Linked DNA regions of Diceros bicornis minor. The protein of the gene in region 1 interacts with the protein of each later gene in a pairwise test. Links are inferred from orthologs where the notes say so. Each region holds a gene or a part of one and is shown on either strand. Other genes may lie near its edges.

Evidence for each region.
Region 2: the proteins of CCNDBP1 (region 1) and STK25 interact in binary tests that used the Homo sapiens proteins (3 or more experiments, as listed by UniProt). The two-hybrid records come from large-scale screens. The link is inferred for Diceros bicornis minor from reciprocal best matches to the Homo sapiens genes CCNDBP1 and STK25.

Annotation. Positions count from the first base shown.
Region 1 is NC_080744.1:40,641,531-40,649,164, reverse strand, and holds the start of CCNDBP1 (cyclin-D1-binding protein 1), read right to left. Parts: upstream 3,059-7,634; 5' UTR 2,963-3,058; coding exon 2,854-2,962; intron 2,678-2,853; coding exon 2,618-2,677; intron 2,329-2,617; coding exon 2,249-2,328; intron 1-2,248. Other genes in the region: TMEM62 (transmembrane protein 62), read right to left, coding at 3,952-4,278, 6,930-7,048. UniProt on the Homo sapiens protein: May negatively regulate cell cycle progression. May act at least in part via inhibition of the cyclin-D1/CDK4 complex, thereby preventing phosphorylation of RB1 and blocking E2F-dependent transcription.
Region 2 is NC_080776.1:28,317,252-28,324,913, forward strand, and holds the start of STK25 (serine/threonine-protein kinase 25), read right to left. Parts: upstream 3,072-7,662; 5' UTR 2,986-3,071; exon of another isoform or gene 2,924-2,985; intron 2,295-2,923; 5' UTR 2,202-2,294; coding exon 2,172-2,201; intron 1-2,171. UniProt on the Homo sapiens protein: Oxidant stress-activated serine/threonine kinase that may play a role in the response to environmental stress.

The DNA.
Region 1 (7,634 bases):
GTACAGTTTCTACTGAATGCATACTGCTTTCTATTGAATGAGTATTGCTTTCACACAGCACCATCATAAAGTCAAAAAATCGTTAAGTTGAACCATCGTAAGTCGGGGACCGTCTGTAGTTGTGTTCGCACCACAAGGGCAGAGCTAAGCAGTTGGCCTGCAAAGCCTAAAATATTTACTATCTGGCCCTTTACAGAAGAAGTTTGCCAACCCTACCTTAGACCACTAACCAGGTGTCTGATCTCTCTGTCTCGCCATCTGTCTCTCTCTTAACAGAATCACAGTACAGTCATATGCTGCATAATAATGTTTCCAACAATGACGGACCACAGTGGTCCCATAAGATTAGTACTGTAAAGCCTAGGTGTGTAGTAGGCTATACCATCTAGGTTTGTGTAAGTACACCCTATGATGTTTGCACAACAACAAAATCGCCTAAGGATGCATTTCTCAGAATGTATCCGTCATTAAGCTAGTCATGACAGTATACCTAAAGGTAATTAGCATGGACTCTACAATGCTCAATGCTGACTATTTTCCTTCTAAGCAGTCACTGGCTTTCTCTTATCTTCCTTGTCTTCGCTTCTCTACTAAACTCTAAGCCAGTGCTATGCAAAATTGGTCCACAGATTGGTGCTAGTCCATAAACGGTTCATCACAGTCTAGGATGGATAAGTACGGTGAATGAGAGCGTTCAGAAACTTTTGTGGCAATTTGACACTGCTTCAACATCCAAACATAATTTTATAAAAATACCAGTCCATATGGACTGGAATTAAAAAAAAAACAAAACCATTCTTCAGTAGGACTAACATGCTGAGATTCTAAGAAAGCAATTGTGATTCAAATATATATAATTCAAATAAAACCAAATTCTAATTTTTCATCCATGAGTGAAACCACTGTCCTGAGCATGTACAGAAAAACAGTTCTATGCTGCCACCTCACGGTATCTTACTAGCTATAAATTTTAGCAGCAAGTCCTAAGTGTATTTGAAAGAAAGGAGTCAGCAGATTGAAGGTAATACTACTACTCCTTTTGAAATAAATATTGACTTTCACAAAGCTTTTAAAGTGCTCTCATACAATTCATCTCTTGTTTCCTCATCACAGATCTCTGAGGTATGCAGGGGGAGAGAGTTTATCACTGTAGATGCAGCAAAAAAGTTTTTTTTCATTTCAAAACATCTGAATATATAGATTGAGAAAAAGAAGGAAACTACTGACTATGGAAACCAAATATGGCAACGAATATGTCATTCTAAAATAACCCTACTCCCAAATTAAGTACATCTAGCTCTAGAAAAACTAGTCACAGCCAACATGTTTACTTTCATTAGTTTTATAATAAAGTTATTATAGTTACAGTTATTAAAAATGCATACATTCTTTGTTCTAGCAATTCCACTTCTGAGAATTTTTTTTACAGATACACACACAAAAAAGACTGTAATTCACCACAGCACTGTTTATAATAGTTACAAGTTGGCAACAGCTTAAATGTCTACTTAGAGTATTGTCTAAATAAATTATGGTTATATCCACTCTATTGAATACCATGCAGCCATTAGAAAGACCTGAGCAACTTTATATGTGCTGCTAAGAATCAATTTATATGTGCTATGATTGATAATTTTTTTAAGAAAGGAAGGTCCAGAAAAGTGTTTATGGCATCCTTTCATTTGTGTAAAAAGAAGCATAGAATATATATGGAATAATACAAAAGTAACTGGGGAGGGGAGATATAAACTTTTTAGCACACAACTTTGATATCTTTTGAATTTCACACTGTATACATATGTTACTGATTAAATATAAGAAATAATACAACACAAAAAGGGTATTATGTAGCATAACAGAAAAGGCATAGCCTAGACATCAGATAGACTCTAATTTAAATCCCATCTCCACTGCTTTTTTACCTTAACTTGAGCCTCTGAGCCTGCTTACTCATCTGTCAGATGGGGATCATGCATGTGAAAACACCTAGCAAATAGCAAGTGCTTAAAAAAATTATCAGGAAGGAGATGACCAGGATGAACTTCAAATTGAACCAATATTTAGAAGACTTTCCCACTCCATGCCAGGTACTGCACTTGGCAATTTGGTCTTCGCAACAATCCTGAAATCTTATTTGACAGGTGAGAAAAATAAATTCCCTGGCTTAAGTGCAAAAGGTGGAAAGAAAATGAGAGCATTCCTAAGGAATAAGGCGGCAGCACATTGATTCCAGGAAGGTAAAGCCCACCTGTGGAGACGGCAACGGAAGTCGAGAAAAGGCTTCGGTCAGAGTCGTGGCTTCCCTTGACACTTTCACAGCGGCCTCATCTAGGGGTGACAGACGAGGAAACAGGAGTCAATATGTTAGCGCTAAAAGGATGATGCTGCAGCTGCTGCACGGACTTGGAAGATAACGCGCTCCCTTCTCCACCCCTGCCGGCTGAGAAGTCTCAAAAACACCTCCAAAAATCAATGTTTTATATCAACCCCTGAAATGCCGAGGATGTACCGGTAAGGTGAGGTATCCCCACAGAGAGGATGCGGCGGGGGGAAAGCGAGAGGGAAAGGGGTCGGGACGCTGGAGGACATGACAGATGGGAACAGGAGAGGCACTCACTGAGTCTTCTCCAAAACGTCTCCCGATTAAACTCCTTGGTGGTCTCCTGGGCTTCACCGACTGGTGGGCGAGGCGTGTGGGCCGGGTAATGGCAAAAAAAATGGCCGGGTAAGCGGAGCCACCTCCTGCCCCCACCTCCTCCGCGCGGGCCCCCGCCTCCGCCGCCGCCACAGCCTGGCCTCTCCCCCACCCCAAGCGCGCCCCTGCCGTCGCCTGTCCCAACTGCGTCAGCTCACCCCGCACTCCAGGCAGGAGCAACCGCAGCTCCCTTGCTAAGTGCCGGAGCTGCTCCAAAGGCGGAGCCAGGGTAGAGAATGCGGCTGCAGGCGCAGCTGCGCCCGCCATCTCAGTAGACCTCCTAGAGCCTGCAGACAAAAGCAGCCAAGGCAGCTGCCCGTGTCCCACTGCGGTAGCCGCTCCACTTCCGGGCGTCACAGACCGGGATTCGCTTCCGGCAACAACCCGCCTCCCCGCCGCCCCGCCCCGCCCCAAAGGCCCGGCCACACCCCCTCCGGTCCCCAGAGGCCCGGCGAGGCCTTCTTCCGCCCCAGAGGCCCACCCACGCCTCCTGCCATCCCGAGGCCGAGCCACTCCTCCTTCCGCCCCAGAGGCCCGGCCACGCCTCCCCTCGTCCTCAGAGGCCCGGCCACGCCTCCCCCCCCGCCCTCAGAGGCCCGGCCACGCCTCCTTGCGCCCCAGAGGCCCGGCCACGCCTTCTCCCGCCCCAAAGGCCAGGCCACGACTCCCCCTCCCCGTCCCCAGAGGCCGGGCCACCCCTCCTTCCGCCCTAGAGGCCGGGCCACACAAGCAAGGACCTCTCTGAGTTACTTCTTATTCGTTATTCATTTATTTGATTAGTTGAAAACACCCCCGACTAAGGGAGCAGAGAACCCATAACCCTGCGGGAAAAGAGGACTGGGAGCTAATATCTCAAGCGTAGTCAGGGTCGGGCCCAAGTTCGCAGTGGTTCTCCGCCCCTAAAGTGGCACCCGTAATGGCTGCTGAGTTCCAGACACTGTGCTAGATACTTTACATGAGGTAATCTTAAAAAACACACTCGGCCTCAGATACTCCCATACACCCAGTCCCTGCCGTGTGGATCTCCTAGATTAGGGCTTTCTCTTCACAAATGTAAATCAACCCTTTGCCTTCTTGGGGAAGGAAGGAATCAACATCATTTAGACACTTTTCTGCAGTCCATGCTGCAGAAATCAGTAGTGGGTAATCCCCCCAACTCCCAACCATCCAAGCAGCAGCAGCCCACCAATACTGGCCTTTCACCTGTTGCTGGGGCAGAGGCCTGGGCTACTGACAGGCGGGTGGTGAGATGGCCTTCAGGAGCTCAGGTGGCTTTTTAACTGCACTATGAAGGTTCCAAGCTCAGTAGAGTTCAGTGTCCACACACAACGAATGAAAACAGGTGTCAGCAGTGTCAACCAGGTCCGCAGTGGGGAGAATAAAAAAGCTAAAGTGCCATACGTCATATGAAGAACATAGCAGGAATAAATCTGCCAGATGTACAGCAGTACCATTAGCAGGTGAACAAGTATGACTTTCAAGTATCTTCCTTGACGGAGATGAGACCTGAAGTTGTGACCAAAGCACCGCTGCAGCAAGCTCCAACACAGGTAAGCCATCAAGGGGATGTTAAAAAACACCAGCTGGAAAGAGAAGCAGAACAAACCATTTGCTTAATAGCAAGCCCCTGGAGGGGTGGGGTCTCACTAACACATTATTGGTGGCTCCTAAGAATATGTTGCTTTCTCTCTTGGGGGTTAACTCTCTGATTCTTTAAGCTTCAATCACATTTGCATATAACACAACAGTTGACTTGTAGTTAGCTGTATATTTGCCTGTATCCTTCTGTTCATCTTAAAGGCAGGTATCATTTCATTTATGTTGAAGCCCTCAATAATGTTTAAGGTAGAAATGAATTGAATATGTGCAGGTCAATATATATACTTGGGGTTTTTTTTTTGGCACAGTGAGGGAGGAACTTGGGTGTCAATATTTTTTTATCTGTATTTTTATTTGAAGTAGCCTGATGAATACTAGAATACAAATTAAAAGATTTAAGTTATAATAAGGTTAGCTGCTGTATGATTCATTCATTCATTCATTCACCAGATAATTATTGAGCACTCATTATGTGTCAGGCACTGTGCTAGCTCTAGACTAGGAACATACTGGTGAACAAGTCCGAAAAGATGCATCATAGAGGTTACATTCTAACAGGGAGAAGAGAAACCAAAAAAAAAAGATAATTACAGATTGTGATAAATTCAATAAAAGAAATAACTGAGTTATGAGAGGGTAATTGGGAGATGGAAGGACTGAAGCCTTCCATCTCTGAAGCCTGAAGGACAGGAATGAGTCAGTGAAAGGAAGGACATTTCAGGCAGAAGAAACAATGAAAAGCAGTCTTGGCCTATTTAAGGCCAATAGGCCTGGCACAAGATGAGCCAGGTGGAAAGGGGGGCAGTCAGCAGGACCCAGATCATGTCACTGCTCTGGTTAAAGGGTTTTAAGCTGAGAAGTGAGCTGATTAAGGTTTTAAAAGGACCACAGTGGATGCTCTGTGGTGAACTGATAGTAGAGAGGCAAGAGCAGCAGTGGGAAGACCAGTTAGGGGGTTAGTGCAGTAGCCCAGGCAAGAAATAATTATGACTTAGACTAGGATGGCGTAACAGAGATGGAGAGAAGGGTGGATTCAAGATATGTATTGGAGGTAGCTCAAACAAGGTACTACTTGCTGATGAACTAGATACAGGGTATGAGGTAAGGGGAAGAATTGAGGATACATCCTGGAGAAACTAAGTGAATGGTGGAGCCATTTATTGAAATTGGAAAGAATTTGGGGAGGAACACAGGTTTGGGGGTAGAAATTAAAGGTCTTATTAGAGATGTAATATTAAGTTGAGATGGCTTTTAGATATCTAAGGGAAGATGTGAAATGGCAGTTGGATATATAAGCACTTGAAGTGCCAAGAAGAGGTCTAGGTCAGAGATGTAGATTTGGGAGTCATGGGCCTACATGACACATAAAATCCGTTATTAGTGTACTTTTATTAAAATATAAATATATACCCACCTTTCGGTAAGGATCAGGTTTTACTTGGTATAAGAGTGCTCCACACACAGATGGAGGGCCAGCCTCCATCTACATAATGGAAAACTGAACTGGACCCGGGACCTACTCACATATACAATGTGTACAGAGAATGTTGTACAGCTGCTGTACAGAGAATGTTCTGGCTTGTAGTCAGTGTTTGCTGGGCAGAGGTCTTCCCTAATCCTGCTGATCATGTTTCACTATCCTATTACAAGGCTGTGAACTCATTCTGAACAATGTTTTTGGATCTCTTCCAAAACATCAGATCATCACTTCAGATTTTGGTCCATTAGCCCCATTAGGTGAGTAAAATAAATTGTTAGGTAAATAGTTTTCAGACCTATTTATAGAGATTTGCTACAGGTCAGAGTTTTTTGTGTTGGAATCTTTGTGGGGTTTTTTTTTTTTTTTTTTTTTGCTGAGGAAGATTAGCCCTAAGCTAACATCTGTTGCCAATCCTCCTCAGTTTTTTTCTTGAGGAAGATTAGCCATGAACTAACATCTGTGCCAGTCTTCCTCTACTTTATATGTGGGTTGCTGCCACAGCATGGCTGATGAGTGGTGTAGGTCCGTGCCGGGATCCGAACCAGAGAACCTGGGCCACCAAAGTGGAACGCACCGAACTCAACCACTATGCCACGGGGCCAGCCCCTAAAGGAATCTTAATCCAAGTGTAAATCTAATGTATGAGTGTTTCCCAAACAAGTGTACTGCTAAGACATCACTAGAAAGCCAAGTCTGGTTTTTGCCCAGTGTAGCTTCCAGTGGGTAACTGACCCGCTTTTCTTGTGCGTCTGTTTTTCCTTTCCTCCCTCTGAAACATTTTCCTTCTTCATTATCATAATCAATTTTGGTTTACTCAGAAGTCTATCATTTATTCTACCATAAGTCCTTTATTTCAGTTTTTGTCAATGCAAAAGCACAGTGAAACAAACAACAAAAACAAAAACCTCTTTCACCTCTTATAAACTCTGCTTGCCAAAAATGTATTTTAGATATTTACAAGACAGTAGTGGAAGAAAGAGCTTAGGAAGCACTCTAAAAGCAAACAAAACACCAGATATTAAAGATTGCCCTGCCAGTAAATTAGGAAACATGATCTATGGTGTTTAATTTGGGATTTTGGATTTAATTTGTAACTGTTACGCAATTAGTCCAACAAGGCCAAGATGTTCTTAAATTGCATTTCTGACTTCTTACCTGAAGAACTCCAACTATAAATGTTATGCTGCCTTGTAGGAAATGTCCATCAACAAAGATCCCAAAGGAAAAGCAGCAACCCAATTTGCCCTTAATGATTTCACCAACAAACCATGGTCCTGAAAGAAGCATTGGACAGGAAAGGAGAAGATTAAATAACTAGGACTCTGATTATATACATCATGAGATGCACTTATACGAATAACAAAGAAATATGAGACTAGTCATCTATAAGCATTTTATTTGCATAGCTTTTCTTCTTTGCTAATCTCTTTGTTGTACCCAATGTCCCAGCTAACCAACTGTTTGCTCCTTTGCTCCATATTTCTCTGGATTCTAAAATCATGTGAGTACATGCTATACCTGGAATAGATTCCAGAAACAGACTGGAGTACCTTCACAAATTTTAGAAAATTCTGTTGCAATAATAACCTCAATATAATGCATTAGCATTTCCTTTAAGAAGCAAAGAGGTATTCCACAAAAGTTAATTTTCCAGATAACTGAGATTTACTCCTTTAAGCAATAAAACTTCAACCATTGTAATCTTTCTGAAATGCACTTCTTCTTTCTTATTAATATTAATGAATGTATTTTAACCTTTTCTTGCTGACCCACAGTCTTTACTTTGTACATCAACTACAGATTCAGGGTTAACGTGTTAACTTGCTTCTTTAATTTTTCATCTAGAATGCCAGAATGACT
Region 2 (7,662 bases), on another chromosome or scaffold:
GAGTTCCAGGCTCGGCAGGGAAGCGGGGAGCCCCAACCCCCAACTTTCACACTCTTTGGGTTCACACCACTGCAGGTCAGTCACCTGAGCAGACAGCATGACAGGAACACTCCTAGCTGTGATCCTGACCCTCCAAGCACATCACAGGGACAACCCGCTCCCAGCCCCACCAGGTGAAGGAAATGCAAGTAGCTTCCAAGTCTGGGGGCCTCAGGCTGCCCTTCTAGATGACGCACATGGTCTAGACAATCACTCAGGCCCCTGGACTGGCTCTGGCATCAGTTCAAATGATGCTATTGTCAATGGCGTCAAATCAGCCCTGGGGCTGCCAGGTCCAGGGCCACCACCTGGGATTGTGTCTGGCGTTAGTGTCACCCCACAAAATGAAGGGAGCCAAGCCATCCCCAGCCACCACAAAACGGGCTGCAGCCAAGCGAGCACGACACGGGGGACCCCGCAGCCACTCAGGCCCTGTAGGCGGGGCAGGAACTAGCTAGGTGTAGGACAGCCATCTAGGGCAGGAGCACAGGCCACGGGGGAGCACGTCCTGCTGCCCCACAGGGCCACAGTGACAACCCTCAAGAGAAAACGACATCCTGTCAAGCTTCCTGCCACCGACAAAGGCTGAGTCTCTCCGCCCCTGAAAGGACAAAGGGGGCTTCCTTCCTTTAGGGTCCCTTCCCCAGCTCCTCCACACCCGCACTCCCTCCCAGGTCTCATCCAGACGCCCAGGCTAAGCGCCACGCACCAGTGGCACACAGGGGACAGAGGCAGCTCAAGGCTCCAGTTCCTCATACTGGGTCCCAGGGGAGCTATTCCTACAGCTCTTAAAAATAAGCTGGAGACAAAGTTTTTGCACAGCATCTTAGTCATGTAATTTACCAGACACAAAATGTCAAAAATGAATGAAAAATCTGTTAGCTTAATTCAGCGTCAGTCAGCAAGCCCTCGCTCCCATCTGTGGCCACAGCTGGTCCCGGATGCCATGCCCAACAGCTGCGCGTGGCGTTCCAGGTTTCTCCACAGAGCCCGGCTGGGTCTGGAGCTGAGCTCTGACTCCAGCCCCTCTGGCCCCCAAGAGGACACACACGCTTCCTGTTCCTCGCATGCCCAGTCCTCACTGATTCAGCACACAGGAGCAAGCCAGAGGGCTACACTCCCTTTAAGGGGAGATTCCCACACCTGGCAGCAGTCAGCCCAAATCGTGCCCAAACCGAACAAAACCAAACAGCCAGGATGCAGGAACACCTGGCCACCGCAGTGGTGTATTCTAGCGCAGTCAGCTTCAGGTCACACTGGCTTTGAAAAAACAAAAAGGCGGAGAGACGCAGACTACCACACCCCCGCCGGCTGCCACCGACCCTCCTTTCCCAGCACCAGGCACCAGCAGCAGGTCCTCGTTCCAGGCAAACTCTGTGGAGGGCTCCCAGGGAGTCAGCCAGTGAACATGCAAGGCCAGACACCTCCAGGCGGCTCGGTGTTGGGAACTACGAGAACTAATCGCCCAAAGAAGAGAGACGGTTGGCCTCTTCCAGGGAAGCACTTCTCGCCTGGCTTACACAGGTTCTGCAGAGCAGCCTTCTCCACCTCCCCCAGTGGAAACACTCGCACTCGCGTCCTCTGCTTTCCCTACATGCCGACTCTTACACCACAGCCACTTAACGACAATCCCAGCCCCTCTGGATTGTCCGTCAGGTGGGGGTCTCCAGCGTGGACCCTGCTCTTTGACGTCCCTCCAGATGCGCAGATCCAGGTTCCTGCAGGATTCCCACCCAAGCCACCCAGCCCTGCGCCCAAGATAGGTCTCTGCACACCCTCCTGGATCTTGCACTGTGGCTCTAGTCTCAAAGGCCTGTGGGCTTCTGCCCCACAGCACACCCCATGGGCCACCCTGAGTCAGCCCTGCTCCCCACCAAGCCTGAGCACCTCAGGAATGGTCCCCACTTTGCCCATGACGGGCATCACAGGGTTCCCCAAGAACACTCCTCCCTTCAGCCCACATCCCCTTAATAGACCGCTCTCCCAAACCCCCAGGATGATTTTCAAAAGATACTTCTGGGTGAAATAAGACGTCTCTCGTGATCCACACCTCTCTTGGACTCTGCAGTCTGCACTCCCCTTGGGGGGCTCAAGCACGAACACACGCTTACAAGGCAGAAACCAACCCTCACCTGGTTGGCGAATCCCCTGAGGTGAGCCATGTCTGCGCTGCCCTCAGACCATCCGCTGCAACCCCAGGAGGCCCCAAGATCCCGTCTTGAGGCTCTGGAACCCGGCTTGCTCGCTTCAGTCAACTAGAAGGAGAGCAGGCCCCTGGGTGCCCTGTTCGCCCCCTCCCAACAAGACCCCCAAAGGCCGCCCGCCCAGCCCTGCCGGCCCAACCCCCGAAGGGCTCACCAACCCGGGGCACCCCCTGGAAGCCCCTCCCACCCCTGCCCCCAGCCTCCAACCTTCCTCCAGGCCGGCTTCCTCACCCCCCCCCACCCCGTCCGCCCCCAGCGCCCTCGCCCCTCCCCTAGGCCATCCCCCACCGCTGAGCCAGGCCCCCAGCGCCCTCCTCCCGCCAGGTCCCGCCCCCGGCGCCCTCCCCCCAGCCAAGCCCCGCCCCTAGCGCCCTCCCCAGTAAGCCCCGCCCCAGCGCCAAGCCCCACCCCCCCGTGACACCCCCCCCACCGCCGGACCCCGCCTCCAGCACCCACTCCCCCGCCAAGCCCCACCCCGAGCCTTTCCCCCGCCCCCATTGCTCTCACTCCACCTCCAGCACCCTCCCCCAAGCCAAGCCGCGCCCCCAGCGCCGACCCCCCCCAGCGCCCACCCCCCCCGCCAAGCCCCGCCCCCAGAGCCCTACCCCGCCCCATTCCCCCCACCGCTCGGACCCCTCCGCAACCGCCCCAGGCGCGGGCCCGTCCGGCAGCGCGCCCACCTCCGGGGGGCTCCATCCCGGCCTCCCCCGGCCCGCTCTGCAGTGCCCGCGAAGGCTCCCACCAGCAGCCTCCGCTCGCCGGGGTACGCCTGGGCCCTCCAACCCGCGAAGCAGCGGCAGCGGCAGCGGCGGCGGAGAAAGCCCGGCGGCGGCGACGGCGAGGGCGGCGCGCGGCGTCGTGGCCCAGCGCGGGGCTCTCTGGGACACCGAGTCCCCCCGCCCGCCCCGCGCCCGGGTGCCCGCCGGCGCTGGACTACAAATCCCGGCAGGCCACGGGGCGGGCGGTGCCGCGGCGCGCACGCGCGCCGCGGGGCTCGCTGGGACTCCGAGTCGGGCTTCCTGAGCGACTGCGGACTACGTCTCCCGGCAGGCCGCGGGGTGGGGCAGGGCAGGGGAGGGGCCAGGCAGGGCAGGGGGCGGAGCCGGGCAGCGGTTGGGTAGAGGCCGTCCTCCGCTCCTCCTTCTCTGCTCTCCGTCTTCCGCCTTGGTCCGCTATTGCCGCTTTCTCCGGCGGCCTGCCGTCCCCGCCTCATCTCCCCTCCCCACCGTCCCTCTCCTGCTGTCCCCGCTCTGTACTCCCTTCCAGTCCCTTCATGTCCTTCTCCATCCCCACTCCCCTGGCCTGCATTTCCTCCTCCCTTCCATCTTGGCGGGCATCGGCCCACCGTCTTGTCCCCGCTGCCACCGTCCTGTCCCTGGGAGCTGCCCCTGCAGCAAGCCAAATGTCAGTCGAGGGTCGAATGCAGAAAGAAAATGTGGTCCATACGTGCAGTGGAATATTATTCTTCCCCGAAGAAGGAAGGAAATTCTGACACAGACTACAACGTGGATGAACCTGGAGGACATTATGCTCAGTGAAATAAGCCAGACACGGAAGGACAAATATTGTATGATTCCACTTGTATGAGGTCCCTAGAGTCGTCAAAGTCGTAGAGAGGGAAAGTAGAGTGGTGGGTGCCGGGGGCTGGAGGAGAGGGATTGGGGAGTTAGTGTTTAATGGGGACAGAGTTTCAGTTTTACAAGATGAAAAGAGTTATGGAGATGGATGGTGGTGATGGTGGCACAACAATGTGAATGTATTTAATGCCACTGAATTGTACATTTAAAAATGGTTAAAATGAGGGGGCCGGCCCCGTGGCGTAGTGGTTAAGTTCAGCACGCTCCTCTTTGGTGGCCCAGGTTTGCAGGTTCAGATTCTAGGCATGGACTTGACCACTCATCAGCCATGCTGTGGTGGCAACCCACATACAAAATAGAGGAAGATTGGCACAGATATTAGCTCAGGGCCAATCATCCTCAAGCAAAAAGAGGAAGATTGTCAATGGATGTTAGCTCAAGGCCAATATTCCTCAGGAAAAAAAAAGTCCACTCTACACCTAACATGTGTCCCAGCATTCCCACTCCTAGGTATTTATTCTAGAGAAATGAAAACTTATCTTCACACAAAAAACCTGTACATAAATGTCTACAGCATACCTATTCACATAGCCCCAAGTGGAAACACCCCAGAGGCCTTTTAGCGGGTGAGTGGATAAACTGTGGTCCATCCATATGCTGAAATACTGCTGAGCAGTCAAAAAGAGGGAACTACTGATACATGTGACATCTTGGGTGAACCCTACAGATGTCATGTCAGAGGAAGAAGCCAGTCTCAAAAGGTTACATAGTATATGATTCCACTTAGGCGATGTTGTCAAAACAACAAAATATCAGCCAAGGGGAACTGATCAGTGCTTTCCAGAGGTTGGGGGAGCAGCCTGTCCCTACAGAGGAGCAGCAGGAGCAAGCCTTTGAGGGGTGATGGGACTGCTCTGTATCCTGATTGTGGGGGGGATCACACAAATCTATACATGCATTAAAATTCATAGAACTGTACGCTAAAAAAGGCAATTTTATTGTATGTTTTTCAAAAATAAAAATATAAAAATTAATTATAATTCCTTCATATCAAATATGGAGTCCGTGTGCAAATTTCATATGTGTGTGTGTGTGTACATATGGATATGATTTCATATATCCGACTGCACACAGTTTGTTCAAATCAAGATCCCAGTAAGGTCCATATGTTATGATTGGTTTGCTTGTCCCTTTTTTCCCCCTGCCATGTAGGTGCTGAAGAAGCCTAGCCACTGTCCCCTGCAGGGCCCCAGACGGCACTTTCCTGATTGCACCCCCCTCACCATGCCATTTCAGTTGTTCCTCGGGCCCTCTCTCCTATGACTTCCCAGTCAAACTCGAGGCCTAGGTCATCTTTATCAGACTGCACACACACCCCTAAATGGGAGGACAGCAGTATGTCCTCCTGGAAAGTCCTGGAACCTGGTGTGTCTGAGGACACCCCAACAGGCACCCAGCCCCCTCTCCTGCACGCCCCCACCCCGAGGAAAGTCCCGCCCCACGCCCCATTGATGCTTCCCTGAGGATGTGCAGAAGTGGGGCTGGAGGAGGGATTAGAGGAGGGCGCAGCCCCCCAGGGACCACTGGTCCACCTTGGCCCCGGGATGGGTTGGCATCACCAGCGGAAACTGAGAGAAGAGAACGATTTGAAGATGGAGTAGGCAAGGCTGCCTCAAAGCCAGGGGAGGCTGCGGGATGACCTGGGGGGTCAGCTCCACTGTAGAGCCCGATGGAAGCAGCCCTCCCTGAATACGTAGCCTCTACGTCAGAAGAGCCACAGCGTCAGGGATGGCCCTGGGCCTGTGCACTTGCTGAGGACAAACGGCCTCATGGACGAGCCCTTTATTCTCTGCCAAACCTCAGGGTGTGACTACAGCTGGGGTGGTGGGACCCAGCCTCCCAAAGGCCATCCCGCTGTTCCACACGGCTGCACACTGGCTGCTGCTTCTGGGAAGGTGGGGTGCTCGCAGGGTCAGCTTACTGCCTCACTTCACTCATTGTGAGTTCTTCTGTCCTCAAGGGAAACCCCAACTGAGGCTCAGGGATCCTGTGAGGCCACCAAGGTGGTGCTGAGGGCGCTGGGCCAGAAAAGCAGACCATCCTGACCAGTGTCTATCTAGGGAGGCCAGGCTGGGGAAGGCCAAGCCTCGTTGTGGGGCTGCTGCCACATTCTTTCTGGGTGCCCAGTCTTCTCTTCTCTCCAGGGACCCAGATCCATGAAGCTACACAGGGCTAGGAATTGGGCAAGGGGCCGGCCCCAGACCTGCATTTTCTCAGCCCATTGCCATGCCAATCGGCACCTTAGTGGCTGCCCCTTTGTTTGGTCCAGGGGAGCCCACGGCCATCCCTGCACATAACCCCGGGCTGCCTCACTGTCTTGCTGCCTGTCAGGGTCCCCTACTCCCTGACGTCAGCCTCCGTGTTAACCGCAGGGCCTCCCTGAGCATCTTCAATCCTCAGGAAGCTGATCCAGGATGGTGCCCCCACTAGAGTATTTCTGAATGCCTGGGGGAGAGAGACAGAGAAACAGGCACAGAAAGACAGAGAGAGGAGACGTGGCTGAACTCAAAAATAAGATAAGAACCTCTGTGTTTCAGAAATAGATCAGAAACTCAAAGCGTGGCCTGGACGAGTCCTGGGATTGTTGCGCTCCGGGTCTGGAAGCAGGCAGCAGTGGCCTGGAGTACAACCTTTGCATGGTGGAGGTCAGTGTCCCAGAGGAGGACAGGGAGGGAAGCACACTGCAGAGACAAGGCTGAAAAACCCAAATGATAAACAAGCTTGTGAAGTTGGGGCTCCGGGCAGGAGATGGAACTTCAACCTCCGGATTTGCTCCCTGGGTAGGGCCAGGAGGAACTGGGTGGATACTCCCCAGATTGGCCTGCAAGGGGGACCACAGGGCAGGGCCCAGGGAAAGGCGGTGGGAGCCAAGGGATGCGGCCCCAAGGGGCCCAAGTTGGTGTCTCCCAGACAGGGGACCACAGGCCACAATCCAGGTGAGCTGGTGGCAGGCTGGGGCTGCTGCTCCCCCAGCATCTGGTACTGCTGCGCCCAGTGCAGCCCGGGCTGTATCCTGAGTCACCGTCGCTTCCCCCTCCAGAGAGTGGTCTCGAGGTGCCTGTGGCCAGTCAACTCTCTCAGCCTGGACTTTAGATGTCTGAGACCTGGCCACGCTTCACCCATGGAGGACCGTGGACCTCAGGGCCCTCTCTTTCTCTGCCTAGGAGGTGGCCACAGTGCGGAGGCTGATCCCAAACTGGAGAGCTTACCGCCTGTGCTGGGGGATGCCTGGGCCAGGGGAGGCCTATGTGGGTTTCACAGGCTCTGTAGTCTCTCTCCAAGACAGCTGCAGGTGAGCTGGTGAGAGAGCCCGGAGCCAGGCCTCCACTCAGGGATCCAGAGAAGACCAGAAAAGTAGCCCACGTTTGCTTTCATTCACTTGGGAAAGCTGCCGGGGCACCAACAGGAAGAGGCAAGACGCCTGGGCCCAGGGGATCCCGTGCAGACCCCTGTGACAGCACCTGGGATCCCCATCCTAGACAATTCAGAGACAACATGGCAGAGAGAGGCCAGGAAGGAGCTGAAAAGCAGCCTCAGGAGTTAGGAGAACGGTTATGGAAGTGGGGAGGCTGCTGTTGTCTGCATCCCAAGGTTGTGGGATTCAGACTCTAAGGGTAACTGAGAAATACTGAGAAGCTCCCAAGAGCCTGTCCTTAAATTTTCAGGAATTTTGTGAGCTGGTTGTTAAACACAACCATTATCAAAAAGTAATTATATACATATTATTATATCTATCCCATATATTAAATAGAGGAAGATGGGCATGGATGTTAGCTCAGGGC